3 linked regions of the Coturnix japonica genome follow. The protein of the gene in region 2 purifies or fractionates together with the protein of the main gene of each other region. This does not show direct contact. Links are inferred from orthologs where the notes say so. Each region holds a gene or a part of one and is shown on either strand. Other genes may lie near its edges.

The links. Proteins that work in one complex are often made in the same cells at the same time.
Region 1: the proteins of CLK3 (region 2) and TNPO3 purify together in Homo sapiens (affinity purification with mass spectrometry; 4 studies listed by BioGRID and IntAct, counting the BioPlex papers as one, with this or other methods). This does not show direct contact. The link is inferred for Coturnix japonica from reciprocal best matches to the Homo sapiens genes CLK3 and TNPO3.
Region 3: the proteins of CLK3 (region 2) and PSME3 purify together in Homo sapiens (affinity purification with mass spectrometry; 5 studies listed by BioGRID and IntAct, counting the BioPlex papers as one, with this or other methods). This does not show direct contact. The link is inferred for Coturnix japonica from reciprocal best matches to the Homo sapiens genes CLK3 and PSME3.

What each region holds. Positions count from the first base shown.
Region 1 is NC_029516.1:719,991-723,740, reverse strand, and holds part of TNPO3 (transportin-3), read left to right. Parts: intron 1-409; coding exon 410-566; intron 567-1,463; coding exon 1,464-1,631; intron 1,632-2,275; coding exon 2,276-2,388; intron 2,389-2,805; coding exon 2,806-2,866; 3' UTR 2,867-2,902; intron 2,903-3,750. UniProt on the Homo sapiens protein: Importin, which transports target proteins into the nucleus. Specifically mediates the nuclear import of splicing factor serine/arginine (SR) proteins, such as RBM4, SFRS1 and SFRS2, by recognizing phosphorylated SR domains.
Region 2 is NC_029525.1:1,795,932-1,801,101, reverse strand, and holds part of CLK3 (dual specificity protein kinase CLK3), read left to right. Parts: intron 1-1,313; coding exon 1,314-1,407; intron 1,408-1,677; coding exon 1,678-1,744; intron 1,745-2,427; coding exon 2,428-2,544; intron 2,545-2,894; coding exon 2,895-3,061; intron 3,062-3,490; coding exon 3,491-3,585; intron 3,586-3,920; coding exon 3,921-4,050; intron 4,051-4,153; coding exon 4,154-4,236; intron 4,237-4,707; coding exon 4,708-4,787; intron 4,788-5,040; coding exon 5,041-5,131; intron 5,132-5,170. UniProt on the Homo sapiens protein: Dual specificity kinase acting on both serine/threonine and tyrosine-containing substrates. Phosphorylates serine- and arginine-rich (SR) proteins of the spliceosomal complex.
Region 3 is NC_029542.1:4,666,809-4,671,014, forward strand, and holds the end of PSME3 (proteasome activator complex subunit 3), read left to right. Parts: intron 1-4; coding exon 5-117; intron 118-299; coding exon 300-368; intron 369-817; coding exon 818-885; intron 886-1,029; coding exon 1,030-1,084; intron 1,085-1,347; coding exon 1,348-1,434; intron 1,435-1,941; coding exon 1,942-2,022; 3' UTR 2,023-3,697; downstream 3,698-4,206. UniProt on the Homo sapiens protein: Subunit of the 11S REG-gamma (also called PA28-gamma) proteasome regulator, a doughnut-shaped homoheptamer which associates with the proteasome. 11S REG-gamma activates the trypsin-like catalytic subunit of the proteasome but inhibits the chymotrypsin-like and postglutamyl-preferring (PGPH) subunits.

The DNA.
Region 1 (3,750 bases), on a different chromosome or scaffold from region 2:
TCTAACTGTCCCTGCATACCCATGTCCCCGCATCTCCATGTCCCCCATTTCCTGCATCCCCATCTCCTTTTTGTTTCCCTGTCCCACATGATATCCCCATAACATGCTGTCACCACATCCCCCTGACCCCATGTCACATTATATCTTCCTATCCCTCTCCCCAGAACCCATTGTCCCCTGTCCCAATGTACCCATATCCCCCCGTCCTCACCCCCTTGCCCCCCCCATCATATCCCCCCATCCCTTTGTACCCATACCCCCCTGTCCCATTCTCCCCACATCATATCCTTCTGTCCCCATGCTCCGCCCGTCCCCACACTCCATCCCCATGTCATATCCCCACACTCTCCTCTCCCTGTACCCCCCACCCCCCTTCCCCCCGCCCCCGTGGCACTGTCCCTGTCCCCAGGTTCATCCAGCGCAGCCCGGTGACGCTGCTGCGCAGCCAGGTGATGATCCCCATCCTGCAATGGGCCATCGCCGCCACCACGCTGGACCACCGCGACGCCAACTGCAGCGTCATGAAGTTCCTGCGTGACCTCGTGCACACCGGGGTGGCCAATGATGTGAGTGGGGTGGGATGGGGGGAAGGGGACAGGGAGCCGAGATTTGGGGTTGAAAGAGAACACGGGGAAGGATGTGACGTTGGGAGAGAATGTGGGGTTGGGTTGGGATGTGGGATTGTAGATTGATGTAGGTTGAGAGGGGATGTGGGATTGAGTTGGGAGAGGATGTGGGATTGGGAGAGGATGTGGGATTGGGAGAGGATATAGGTTGAGAGGGGATGTGGGATTGAGTTGGGAGAGGATGTGGGATTGGGAGAGGATATGGGTTTGAGTTGGAAGAGAACATAAGGTTGGATTGGAAGAGGAAGTGGGATTGGAAGAGGATGTGTGGTTGGGAGGTCAAAAGAGGATGTAGTATTGGGAGAGGATGTAGGATTGGGTTTGTTGCGGTTGTAGGGTTAGATTTGGGACTGGTTGGGACATAGGATTGGGGTAAGAGAGGAAGTTGGGGTTGGAGGTGATGTGGGTTAGGGTTAGAATTTTGGGGTTAGGGTTTGGAGATTTGGGGATGGCATGATGTGGAGATGATGGTGGGTTGGGATTGAAGATGGTGTGGGGTCAGAGATTTATGGCTAGAAATGTAGGGTTAGGGAGTGAAGGTTTGAGGTCAGTTTTAGGGTTAGAGTAAGGGTTAGAATTGTGGGGCTGGACTTGTTTCGGGCTCAGGGTTTGGGTTTTAGGATTAGGTGAAGATAAAGGTTTTAGGGTCAGGGTTTTAGGGTTATGGTTAGCATTAGGGTTAAGCTTAGGGTTTTAGGCTTAGGGTGTTAGGGTTAAGATTAGGGTTTGGGTTTTAGAGTTAGGGTTTGAAGGTTGTGGTTTCTGGTTTGGGGTTTTAGGATTAGTGTTAAGATTAGGGTTTCAGGCTCGGGATCCTCATACCTCATCCCCCTGCAGCACGAGGAGGACTTTGAGCTGCGCACGGAGCTGATAGCGCAGGTGCTGCGGCAGCTGGGGCAGCAGCTCGTCTCGCAGCTCCTGCACACCTGCTGCTTCTGCCTGCCACCCTACACACTGCCTGACGTGGCCGAGGTGCTCTGGGAGATCATGCAGAGCGACCGCGCGGTGAGCACACGTCACCATGTCCCCTCTGTCCCCACAGCCTCACGTCCCCTCTGTCTTCACAACCCCATGTCTCCAACATCCCCATGTCCTTGTCCCCATATCCCCAGCATCCTCACGCTCCTTTATCCCTGTGTCACCCATATCTCTGTATCCTCACATCCCCCAGATCCCTGCATCTTTGTGTCCCCATGTCCCCCGCATCTCTGTGTCCCCATGTCCCTATACCCCTAGCTCCTCCACATTCCCAAATCTCAGTGTCCCCACACCCTCATGTCCACCAGATCTCCATGTCCCTATATCCCTATGTTCCTCACATACCCATGTCCCCAAGTCCTCAATGGGCCTGTGTCCTTGCATCCCCCCATCTCCATATCTCTGCAGCTCCACATCCCTGTGTCACCACATCCCTGTGTTTCTATATCCTTTATGTCCCTCACATCTCCATGTCCCTGCTTTCCTGTATCCCTATATCCCTACTTCTCTGTGTCCCCATGTCCCCACATTCCTGTGTCCCTACGTGTGCCCACATGTCCCTGCATAACTGTGTCACCCACATCCCTATGGTGTCCCCATGTTCCCCCATCCCACAGAGTGACCCAGGGGGAGCACAGTACCCTCCTCTCACTTTTCTCCCCTCCCTTCAGACCTTCTGTCGGTGGCTGGAGAACTCCCTGAAGGCACTGCCAAAGGAGACGACAGGGGGGGCCATCCAGGTGACGCACAAGCAGCTGACAGATTTCCACAAGCAGGTGACGAGGTGAGAGCCCAGAGACCCCAGTTAGTGCTGGGAGCCTTGCTCTCAATTAGTGACCAGAGTCTGGACCCCATTATCTGATGGGACCCCAGACCTCAATCTGGGATCAGAGCCTGGACCCTGATATCTGATGTGACCCTAGACTCCAATATCTGATGGGATCCCAAACCCCAATTTGGGATCAGAGCCCTGACCCTTATAACTGGTGGGACCCCAAACCCCATCTTGAGATGAGATCCCATACCCTGGTGTCTGATGACCACAGACTAAAATTTGGAATCAGAGCCTGGACCCCAATATCTGATGGAATTGCAGACCTCAGTTTGGGATCAGAGCCCACACCCCAGTATCTCATGGGACCCCAGCCCCCTATGTGTCCCTGTGTGTCTCCCACCCCTCTAACACCTCCTCCCTTTGCAGTGCGGAGGAATGTAAGCAGGTCTGCTGGGCTCTGCGGGACTTCACACGCCTGTTCCGATAGCCTGCGCCCTGCACCCGGCACGGCGCCTGCTCCCAGGTAAGGCAGAGGAGACCAGAGGCCACCATGGGGGCAGCAGACCCCCAGGGGCATTGCTGGGGCTGGGGACATCACATTGGGATGGGGGAATTGTGTGGAATTGGGTTGCATTGGGGACATCATGTTGGGTTGAAGACATGGCACACTGTATTGGGTTGAGGACACTGTTGTATAGATTCAGCTGGGGATGTTGGACTGGGGACATTGCTCTGGGATGGGGATATTATGCTGTGTTGGGGACATGATACTGTGTCGGGGACATTGATTTGGGTTCATTTGGGGACATCGTGTTGGGATGGAGCCATCAAATTGGGTTGGGAACATGGCACTGGGTTGAGGTCATTGTTCTAGGTTCAGCTGGGGACATCACATCAGGTTGAGGTCATGGGCCTTTGTTGGGAACATTGTGCTTGGCTGGGGATGTTGTGTTGAGTTGGATTGGTGACATGGTGCTAAGTTGGGGTGGGGATGTTGTGCTGGGTTGGGGGGCCTGGTGCTGGGTTGGATAGGGGACATGGTGCTGGGTTGGGGACATTGTGCTTTATTGGGGACAATGTTCTGGGTTTGATCAGGGACATTGCATTGGGTTGGGACATGGCACTGTTGGGTTGGAGGACATCATGTTGGGTTGGGGACATTGGGTTAGGTTGAGGACATTGAGTTGGGATGAGTTGGGGACGTGGTGTTGGGATGGGGACGTGGTGTTGGGTTGGGGGCATCAAGTTGGGATGGGGATGGGGTGTTGGGTTGGGGTCATCAAGTTGGGTTGGGGACATGGTGCTGGTTGGGGACATGGTGCTGGTTGGGGACATGGTGCTGGTTGGGGACATGGTGCTGGTTGGGGACAT
Region 2 (5,170 bases):
GCGCCTCACTTCTCTCCAGTAAGGAAAGTTTCCATCGTGCACGTTGGTTCTTTTTAACCATGATTACAATTAAGCGACCGAGTCCTGATCCCTGCAGCTACAGTGAATATCTGCATGGCTTGGAACTCCAGACAGTCTGTTGCTTTTCTCCTCTCCCTCCTTTCCCATTGACTTCTTAATTATTGCCTTAGAAAGAGCCAGGGCTGTGACTAAAATGTTACAGTGTGGTTTGTGTGCAGTGATCCAGCGTTCAGGTTTGGGTTGATGTGATCTGAATTCTTTGAAGTCTCACAGCTCTCTCTCAACTGTCCTCTTTCCTCTCTACCTTCTCTGTTTCAGCTTACCTATGGGGGTCTGTAGCTTCTCATTTTGGACTGGGGCAAGGGGGTACAGAAGACAAGCCTGATAGAAGTCCAGGCATGGAAATGTAGAGCTTTGTTTCCATTCTTAAGGCTAAATGGAAAAGATCAGGAATTAGGACAGCTCTCTTTGTGGACCTGGTCCTTCTGGGAGCATTTGGCTGGTTGTCCAGTAGAAGCTAGAAGTAGCAGGAGTAAATGTGACCTTGTACCTGTAGTAGACACTTGGAGTGAAATGCTCCTTGGGGATCTATTTGACCTGTTCCTAAAGTTCTTCCAGGCTTAAAATTACACCCTAAGGAAAAAGAGCAATGCTAGATCTGCCTGCAGCCAGTCAGGCATAGAGATGGAGGATCAACCTTGTTAAGAAGTGGCAGGATGCTCTGAGGACCCGTTAGCCAAGGTATAAGAGAGCAGGCTGGGTGCTGGGGACAACTGCTACTCTGGCTTCTACTGGGCAGCCTGTCCAGCTCGTTTACGTGTTTGACAGCAGAGAAAAATGACGTCCTTCTGGCAAAGCCCTCCTCCTCCTCCTCCTCCTCCTCCTTGTGCCTCTGGGGCCTTCCCTGGTGCCCCTGAGGGTGCCACAACTCAGTGCAGACCCTGGGGGAGCGGTGGTGCCGAGCCAGTGCCTGGAGCTCCCCAGTTGCTGCCCTGCAGAGAAGAGGGGGGCCTTTCCCTGCTCAGGAGAGGCTGTAGCTAATGAGAGTTTTCTTTACATACCTGTAGCTGTTGATGACTTTTCTGTTTTGAAGTTAGTTTTGTGTCTTGACGTGTCCCTTGCAATATCCCTATCGTTATATATGCTGTGTGCCTTATGAAATGCTGGGATCTGGAAAATCCAACCACCGACGCACCGTCGTCTCCACCTTTGAATGACAACCCAATCTGCCACTCGGAACTGCCCGCTGTGCGCACTTGGTCGTATGCCGTTTCGGGGGGCGGTGCGTACAGAGAAGCCAACAGAGCAGTAAGCGCAGCAGGAGCGTGGAAGATGACAAGGAAGGCCACCTGGTGTGCAGGATCGGCGATTGGCTTCAAGAGCGATGTACAGCCACCTTTCGTAAAACTTTACCTCTACTTTCTATCCCCGTGTTAGACCAGATCTCTCTGATTGTACTGGAGGGGTCTCCTAGTGTTTTATTGCTTATAAATGGACCGAGCAGTAAATTGCCTGAGGCAGCCAATAGCCGCTTGAGTTTTAAAGAGCGTAGCAGTCAGAGACGTTTTTGTTTTGCCACTTTATTGCTGTGAATTGCAGGAGCTCAGCTCTCAGTGCTCCCCTCAAGTTCACACCTGCTCCTGTTTTCTCTCCTAGATGAAATAGTCGGCAGCCTTGGAGAAGGCACTTTTGGCAAAGTCGTGGAGTGTGTAGACCACGCCAGGTAGGCGGCTTCCATTTCCGAGTGCCTTGTCTGTCCGTCGTGCTGTAAACCCAAAGCCTCGTGATGGTGGCAAGATTGATGCTGAGAGCTTCAGCACAGGGCTGCTCTACTGCCCTACTGTAAAAGCAGGGAACTCCAGGGCTGGGCCAGCCAGATGGGAAAGCAGCCTCTTAATCTGCCAGGGCGCTTCTTTTTTCGTCCTCTCCTGTGATTACATTTGACCCCGATCTCTTCCCAACCTTTCAGCTGGCTCTGAGCCCCAGGGTCAGCTTAACGCGGGAGCTGCTGGGATCTCCCTCCTTCTCAGGCGCAGTTGGAGAGAGGAGGTGTCTGCTGGGGTGGCAGTGACCTCAGGGACTGCTGGGTCAGGACGTGGTGTATTTGCAGAGCTTGCTGCAGCTCTCTTCAGGGTGTTACTTGAGCCTTTCACTTCAAATTTCTGCGGGTATTTAAGCACTTGTCAAGGTTGGGGCAAGGACAGAACATCTAATCTCTTACCCTGCGACCTCGCTGCTTTCTGTGTGCTATCACTAACTCGTCCTGTGCTTGCTAAAGGCCGTCTCCTTCTCGTGCTTGTTTGTATTTCTTAGTATGGGCCCTAAAGGCTGCTGCACGGCCCCATGGAACACAGATAGCAGGCAGTACCAGCTTTTGCTCTGACTCCTTTGTCTCTTCTCTTACAGAGGCAAATCGCAGGTGGCACTGAAAATCATTAAAAATGTTGGGAAGTACCGTGAGGCTGCCAGGCTGGAAATCAACGTCCTGAAGAAAATCAAAGAGAAGGATAAGGAGAACAAATTGTAAGTTTGGAATTATTGCTGTCCTAGGAGGGGAAACCTGTCTTATGCCTCCATGTTTTGGAAGAAGAGAGCCTAATTGTGCTATAAACTTGTTTATTGAAATCTTAACAGCTGACATGCTGGGTTAGAGTGAGGAAAAATTAACCACAACTTACTCTGACACGAGAGTCAGAGTATTAGAGATCTTAATGTAAATGTGGTTGAGCGAAGTGGAGAAGGGGTGTGCAAATTGGATTATTGTGCTTTCAAGTCAGCTGGCTCAGAGCTTTTGCTTAGCAACAGTTGGGAGAATTACTGTATTGCCGAGTCTCTGAATGATGCTTAATCCTCGTGTCTTCTTCTCTGTACAGCTTGTGTGTCCTGATGTCGGACTGGTTCAACTTCCACGGCCACATGTGCATTGCCTTTGAACTTCTTGGCAAGAACACTTTTGAGTTCCTGAAGGAGAACAATTTCCAGCCATACCCTCTCCCTCAGATCCGGCACATGGCCTACCAGCTCTGCCATGCCTTGAAATGTGAGTCACACAGGGACAGCCGCTGGAGCTGCCAGCAGCTGCTTGTCCTCCAGTACCTGCTGGTTTTGCTTTTACAGAGTATTCTGGCTCCTTTGCTGAAGCTTGTAAGAAAGACAAGAGATGCTGATTTCTGTGGACAGCAAAGCAGGGATGGAGTGGTAGTCTATAAATTTGCTTCCTTTTCCTTCTGATAGGAATGGAAGAGAGCCTTGTAAGCTCTTCTGTGCCTCCTCTAGCAGAAATACTCAGTCCACAGTTAGGCCACCATGCCTCATCAAAATGGGTTGGGAGGGAGGCGAGGAGTTGCCTTACATGAAGATGTCCAGTACATGACTGGACTTGATGCTCTGATGGGCACAGCCCTATGAGTGCTTTGGTTTGTGGTTCTTACATGTTTTTTTTTCCCTCTCTTCTTCCCCACCTGTGCAGTTCTACATGACAACCAGCTGACTCACACTGACCTCAAGCCAGAAAACATCTTGTTTGTCAACTCTGACTTTGATACTCTGTACAATGAGAAAAAGGTGAGCTATGTCTGAAGTGACTAAACCAGGCACAGCCTGCGTCTCCCTCCCTGCAGAAATGAGATCTTCCCTGTCCTGTATCAGTCCTGTAGAGCCAGGCCTCTTTCTCCCATGTCTTTTAAGAGCCTTAAGGCTTCAGTGGCTTCAGTCCACAGCAGCAGTTCAGCAGCTTTCTGTGACAGTGACATGAGATGTAAATATCTCAGAGCTTCATAGTTGTCATTGTTCTGGTTAAGAGTGTGGACTACACAGTTCTAGGGACAGAGGGCTCCTTGGAAAGCCCACCTCAATCCCCCACCAGCTATTAAGAGCACTGAGGATTTGTTTGCTTGCAGAGCTGTGAGGAGAAATCCATCCGGAACACGAGCATCCGCGTGGCAGACTTTGGAAGTGCCACCTTCGATCACGAGCACCACACGACTATCGTGGCTACCCGGCACTACCGTCCCCCAGAAGTGATCCTTGGTGAGTGCTGCTGAGGCTGTGGGAGCCTCAGTTCCATTAAGGAGGTAGTGGAAAGCTGCTGGGATTTGCTGGGAGCACAAAGATAGCTTTATTCTCTTTGCAGAGCTGGGCTGGGCACAGCCGTGTGATGTCTGGAGTACTGGCTGCATTTTGTTTGAGTATTACCGTGGCTTCACGCTCTTCCAGGTATGACTCTTGCTAAAGGTGTTGGACCCTTTGGCCAAAGTAAGCGTCCTTAATGCCTAAACAGGCTAGAACTTAGGAGGGGGGCAAAAGGCAGACCAGGCACTAAAAGGTCAGAAACTAAGTTTGAAGATCAGCACAGGAAAACTGCAGTTTGAGTTCTCATGGCTTGCTGGAAGGACGTTCACTTCTGGTTTCTTCACTGTGCCTGTGGAGAGTAGGAAAAGCAAGAGAAGCAGCAGATGGATGGGGCCTGCACCCTGTTGTACTAAGGGATGTGGTTTAGTGGGAAATATTGGTGGTAGGTGGATGGTTGGACTGCGTGATCTTGGAGGTGTTTTCCAACTGTGGTGATTCTGTGCTTCCAGAATTCTCTTTCTCTCTCCTTACCCTGTGCTTCCGTAGCAGACAGACCTTTCATCATCAGATCTGCACGCTCTGAAGTAACGCACCACTGCTTTTTTTCCCTTGCAGACCCATGAGAATCGTGAACATCTTGTGATGATGGAGAAAATCCTCGGGCCTATTCCATCTCACATGATCCACAGAACTCGGTAGGAACCCATCCCTCAGCTCTAAAAGACCAGTCAGCTGCTGGTGGTGGCTCATTAGTCAGGACATCAGCTCTCTGTTCACACACCAGGTCTTACCTCTGTAGGTGTAAGCATGGGAAACCTGCTGCAAGTTTTGGTTTTGAGCCTGATCACAGGTTTTAGGGGAAATGATTGAGTCTTGTCTTTCAGTCTTACTGGCTGCTGTTCTGTTGTGTGGGTAAGACTTACTGAACGCCTCTTTCCTCCTCTCCAGAAAGCAGAAATACTTCCACAAAGGGAACCTGGTATGGGATGAGAACACATCCGATGGGAGATACGTCCAAGAGAACTGCAAGCCACTGCGGGTAAGTGCTGCTGAATCCCTGTGGGGTTCCCTTCCCGAG
Region 3 (4,206 bases), on a different chromosome or scaffold from region 2:
GTAGGTACCAAAGTATTTGTGATGCCCAATGGGATGCTGAAGAGCAACCAGCAGCTGGTGGACATCATTGAGAAAGTGAAACCAGAGATCAGGCTGCTTATCGAGAAGTGTAATACGGTGGGTGTGGGCCACAGCCCTGAGTTCTGGAGCAGATGGGGGCACTAGAATACTTTTGCTCCTTTGCTTGTGTGAAGGTTCTCTGAGAAAAGGAGCAGGTTCCTCTGTATTTTATAAATGACAGTGGTATGAATCCTGTAAAAATCTTGACAGTGATCTATATAGTGATCTTTCTATTGCAGGTCAAAATGTGGGTGCAACTTCTAATTCCCAGGATAGAAGATGGAAACAACTTTGGTGTTTCTATTCAGGTAAGATATTGTTGGCTATGTTGTGGTCTTGTATTATAGTGTGTTATCTTGCATTTTGATATCTGATGTAGTAAATTAGTTTGTTTCTCATCAGACTGTTGCTGTTTTCTTTTAAGGCCCATCTCTCTACCCTTCTCCCCTTTTTTCCCTTTTCCCTTTCCCAGGGTGTGGGTCTGTGTGTACTGCTGCCCTGCTAGTTACGGAACCGGGCTGAACCAGCCTGTAAACCACTGACAGGCTGTATGCCCTACTGTGGCAGGGAACTATGCCCCCAAGAGCATGTACCTTTAGGTTTCTTCCAAATCATTTGATGGTATCCAATGTCTGCAGTGGTGGAGTTGGTTTAGGTTTTAAGATCCAAATCTAAGCTTGACATGGAACTGCTACGACCTGGTACTTCTAGAGCGGCGATGGGCAGTTTCAGTATCATGAAAAGGCTTCCTTTGCAGGAGGAAACAGTTGCTGAACTTCGAACTGTGGAGAGTGAGGCAGCATCCTATCTGGACCAGATTTCTAGGTATGAAGGAACAGAGCCCTTTCTGGGAGTGCTGCTGGGAAAAGGAACCTTTTGGGGAAGGTCCTCCAGCTTTGCTGGGGCAGATTGTGCCTGGAAGAATCTTGGTACTGTTTGTCTGATTTGTAGTCTCCATTTTCCTAACAGATATTATATCACAAGAGCCAAGTTGGTTTCCAAAATAGCTAAATACCCTCATGTGGTAAGTAAATGGGGAAGTGGTGCTTTACAGTTTACATGCTGTTGCTTTCTGGGACTCTTCAGGCTACTTCATCACTGTCTTAATTTTGAGCTAGGGGCCCTGTGGGAAAAGGGGGGGCTATATAAGAATATGCAGAATATCTTCATTAGAGAAGAGGAAACTGAAAGGGGGGATTCCTTTGTAAAAGGTAGGACCTTCAGTTGATACCATGTATCAAGCACACCTGAGCTCAGGCCTCTTAGCCATGCATCTGTTTTCTGCAGGAGGACTACCGGCGCACAGTGACAGAGATTGATGAGAAGGAGTATATTAGTCTGCGCCTGATCATTTCAGAGCTGAGGAATCAATATGTAAGTGAAAAAACAGAGCTCTCACTGGCTCCCCACATAATAGAAAGAGTCCTTTTGATCCTTCTACTGCTCTCCTCTTTCCCTATGATTACAGCTAGTCCTGGAGAGAAGCCTATCTTTTCCCCAGTCTGCTTTGGCTCTAACAAGAGCTAAGTGTTTATTGGCTCCCCACCATCTCCCAGAGATGTGGATGTTTCCAACTTGAGTATTCATGGGAGCTGAGTGCAAAATATTCAGTACACTGCTCTAGGAGCGCTGCTGCAATCCTAAATTCTTCAGGCAGTACAGACCATTCTTTTGATGTCTTCTCTTTTTTGTATTGCACACATTAGCTTCTCTAAAGTGTTGCGGAAGAAAGCACTTATTTTAAGCAGAAATGTGATTGCAGGCAGGGGTTGAAAGTAGTACCAGGATGAGCTGTGAAACTGTTCAAGTCAGTGGTTGTGAAACCTGAATGCTAAGTGACATCCCCCCTTCATTTCTGAGTTGTGTTCTCCCTTTTTGCAGGTCACTTTGCATGACATGATCCTTAAAAACATTGAGAAGATCAAGAGGCCTCGGAGCAGCAATGCTGAGACCCTTTATTAAGTGTCAACGTTTGAACTTGAGAACTGTTCAGTCAACTAAAGACCGTCATTGCCTTGGTTTGTTACATGACTATCGAGATGGGAAACTGGCTGGAAATAGTTTTGCATTCTTAGTTAAAATCTAAAGAAATTATCACCTAGTTTTGTGATTGGTTTTATTCAGGTCTCAGGAGCTCTCCCTCCCTCTAGTATATCTGGTAAAGAAAAAGGCCTTGCTGCTTTGGGATGCCCTAGAGGCTACTGCAGAGTGAGAGCAGAGCGCCAGCCAGGCAGGAACATTCCTTCATGCCTTTCTTCCTACCTGAGTAGGAGCTACAGTAGAGATCAGGCCCTTGTCTTGTCCCATCTCTTGGCTGGAGACTTCTCTGTGGTCTCTGTGAATGGGGCAGACCATCTTCAGCTCAAGACTAAGCCTGGATGGTGGTGCAGTGGCTGAAAGCCAGCTCTCTTCACTGCTGGCTGCAGCTGAGCCCCTCTGCCTATGCTCTGCACTGACTTATTTGCAAAGACAGAGGATCCTGCCCCTTCTGGGTTGGTGGCCACAGCCACGTTGCAGTGCCACTGAGAGGCCTGTAATCGTTTTGTGGCTTTTTTGACTCAGTAGAGCGTGGCCCATCTGTCTCTGCCTTGGTTCTGAGCGGGTCAATGCAGAGCTGAAGGTTGTGCTTGTCACTAGGGCTGATTGCTGTACTGGCTGGTTGTGAGCGCATATGGCTTCTGCTCCAGTCTGCAAATTGACTAGAGCCACTTTCTTGGTTAAAACCAACTTCATGGGAGTCTTCATGCCTCCTTGGTATGAGCTGCTTTTGCCCAGGCTGAGAAAGGAGGAGCCAGAGGTGTGATGCTAAACTCCTGATAGCTTCCATGTGTGGTCAGACTGCAACCTGCTTTCTCCTGGCAGTGCTTCCTGCTGTCCAGGCGCAGCAGGCCAGCTGTGACAATAGTGCTTGGGGTGAGGATGGCCAATTCCTACCTGGTACCGTTGCAAACCTTGTATTCTTTCCCCTGCAAAAGAGCACCCTTGTGTGCCTATTGACTCCTCTAAGCTGCTGGAACATTTCATGGTCCATTACAAACCCCTTTGGAAATGATTGGTTGTGTTGCGTCAGTTTTTGTGTGTGGGAAGTGATCCCATAATGCTGCAGGCTCCAAATTTTTTATTTATAATATTTCTACTTAAGTCCCATATTCAGGGAATGTTAAATCATTTATTTCTGGAACCTCACTGTTTCCCAGGTCTTGTTGTTACACCCATATATTCTTATTGTGCAGTAGCCTTAATAGTTGTGTTAACTTCATTGTAACAACAGTGACAAATGGAATGAAATTTCTCTCCTTTTTTTTTTTTTTTAAAACTATTTTTTTTCTGCTTCCACCTCTAAGAGCCATGTTGTCTCTTGCTGGTTTCCTAGGGATTTCCCCAGAGTGTGGAGGGCCACCAGCCCTTGCTGTAGACTCTTCTGTTGTTGTTTGTAGTAAGTCAACTCTTAGTCTTCCCGCTAATAAATATTCTGTAACAAACCAACTGCGTTGTAGCTGCTGTCCTGGAGCAGCACTCCCCCTTGTGTTTCTTTGTATTGATTTATTTTAATTTGTTGAGCTCTCCTTGCCAGATGAAAGTATGTAAACTTTTACCATGTCAAGAAATTAAAATAAGGTACTTTGAATTCTTTTAAGACAGCCCCTTGTCTGTGATACTGAGCTCTGCAGTGTTGGTGTCTGTTCTCGGTCGTGCATTTCACACATCCAGTGGTTCCTTCCATTCGTTCTCCTCATTCTTTTTGACTTGATACTGCTATGTGTGTGCTGCTTTGTAGATTGTTTCTGTTCCTTCAGCATACTTTATATTAAGCACAAGGGCTTGAATTTGATGAGATCTGCCCTGTTCTTGCCTTTTGTGTTGTACTCAGGCCATCTTGGCTCACTCAGGTACAACTGATTTGCATGATGGTGTTCTAAGAGCTGCAACCCACTCCACGGCTGCTCTTGCATCTGTGCAGAGCAGATGTGTGCAGTGTCATAGGACATGCATCTGAATGTTGTACCTGACACGTGTATTCAGTGCATGGTCCATTACTCTCTTGATGTTACTGTGCATGCAGTACAAAGGGGACATGGGCTAAAGCATCCTCAGCGTTACCCAGAGGCGTGCTTTTGTTCTCATTCCTGTTCCTCAGCACATGTG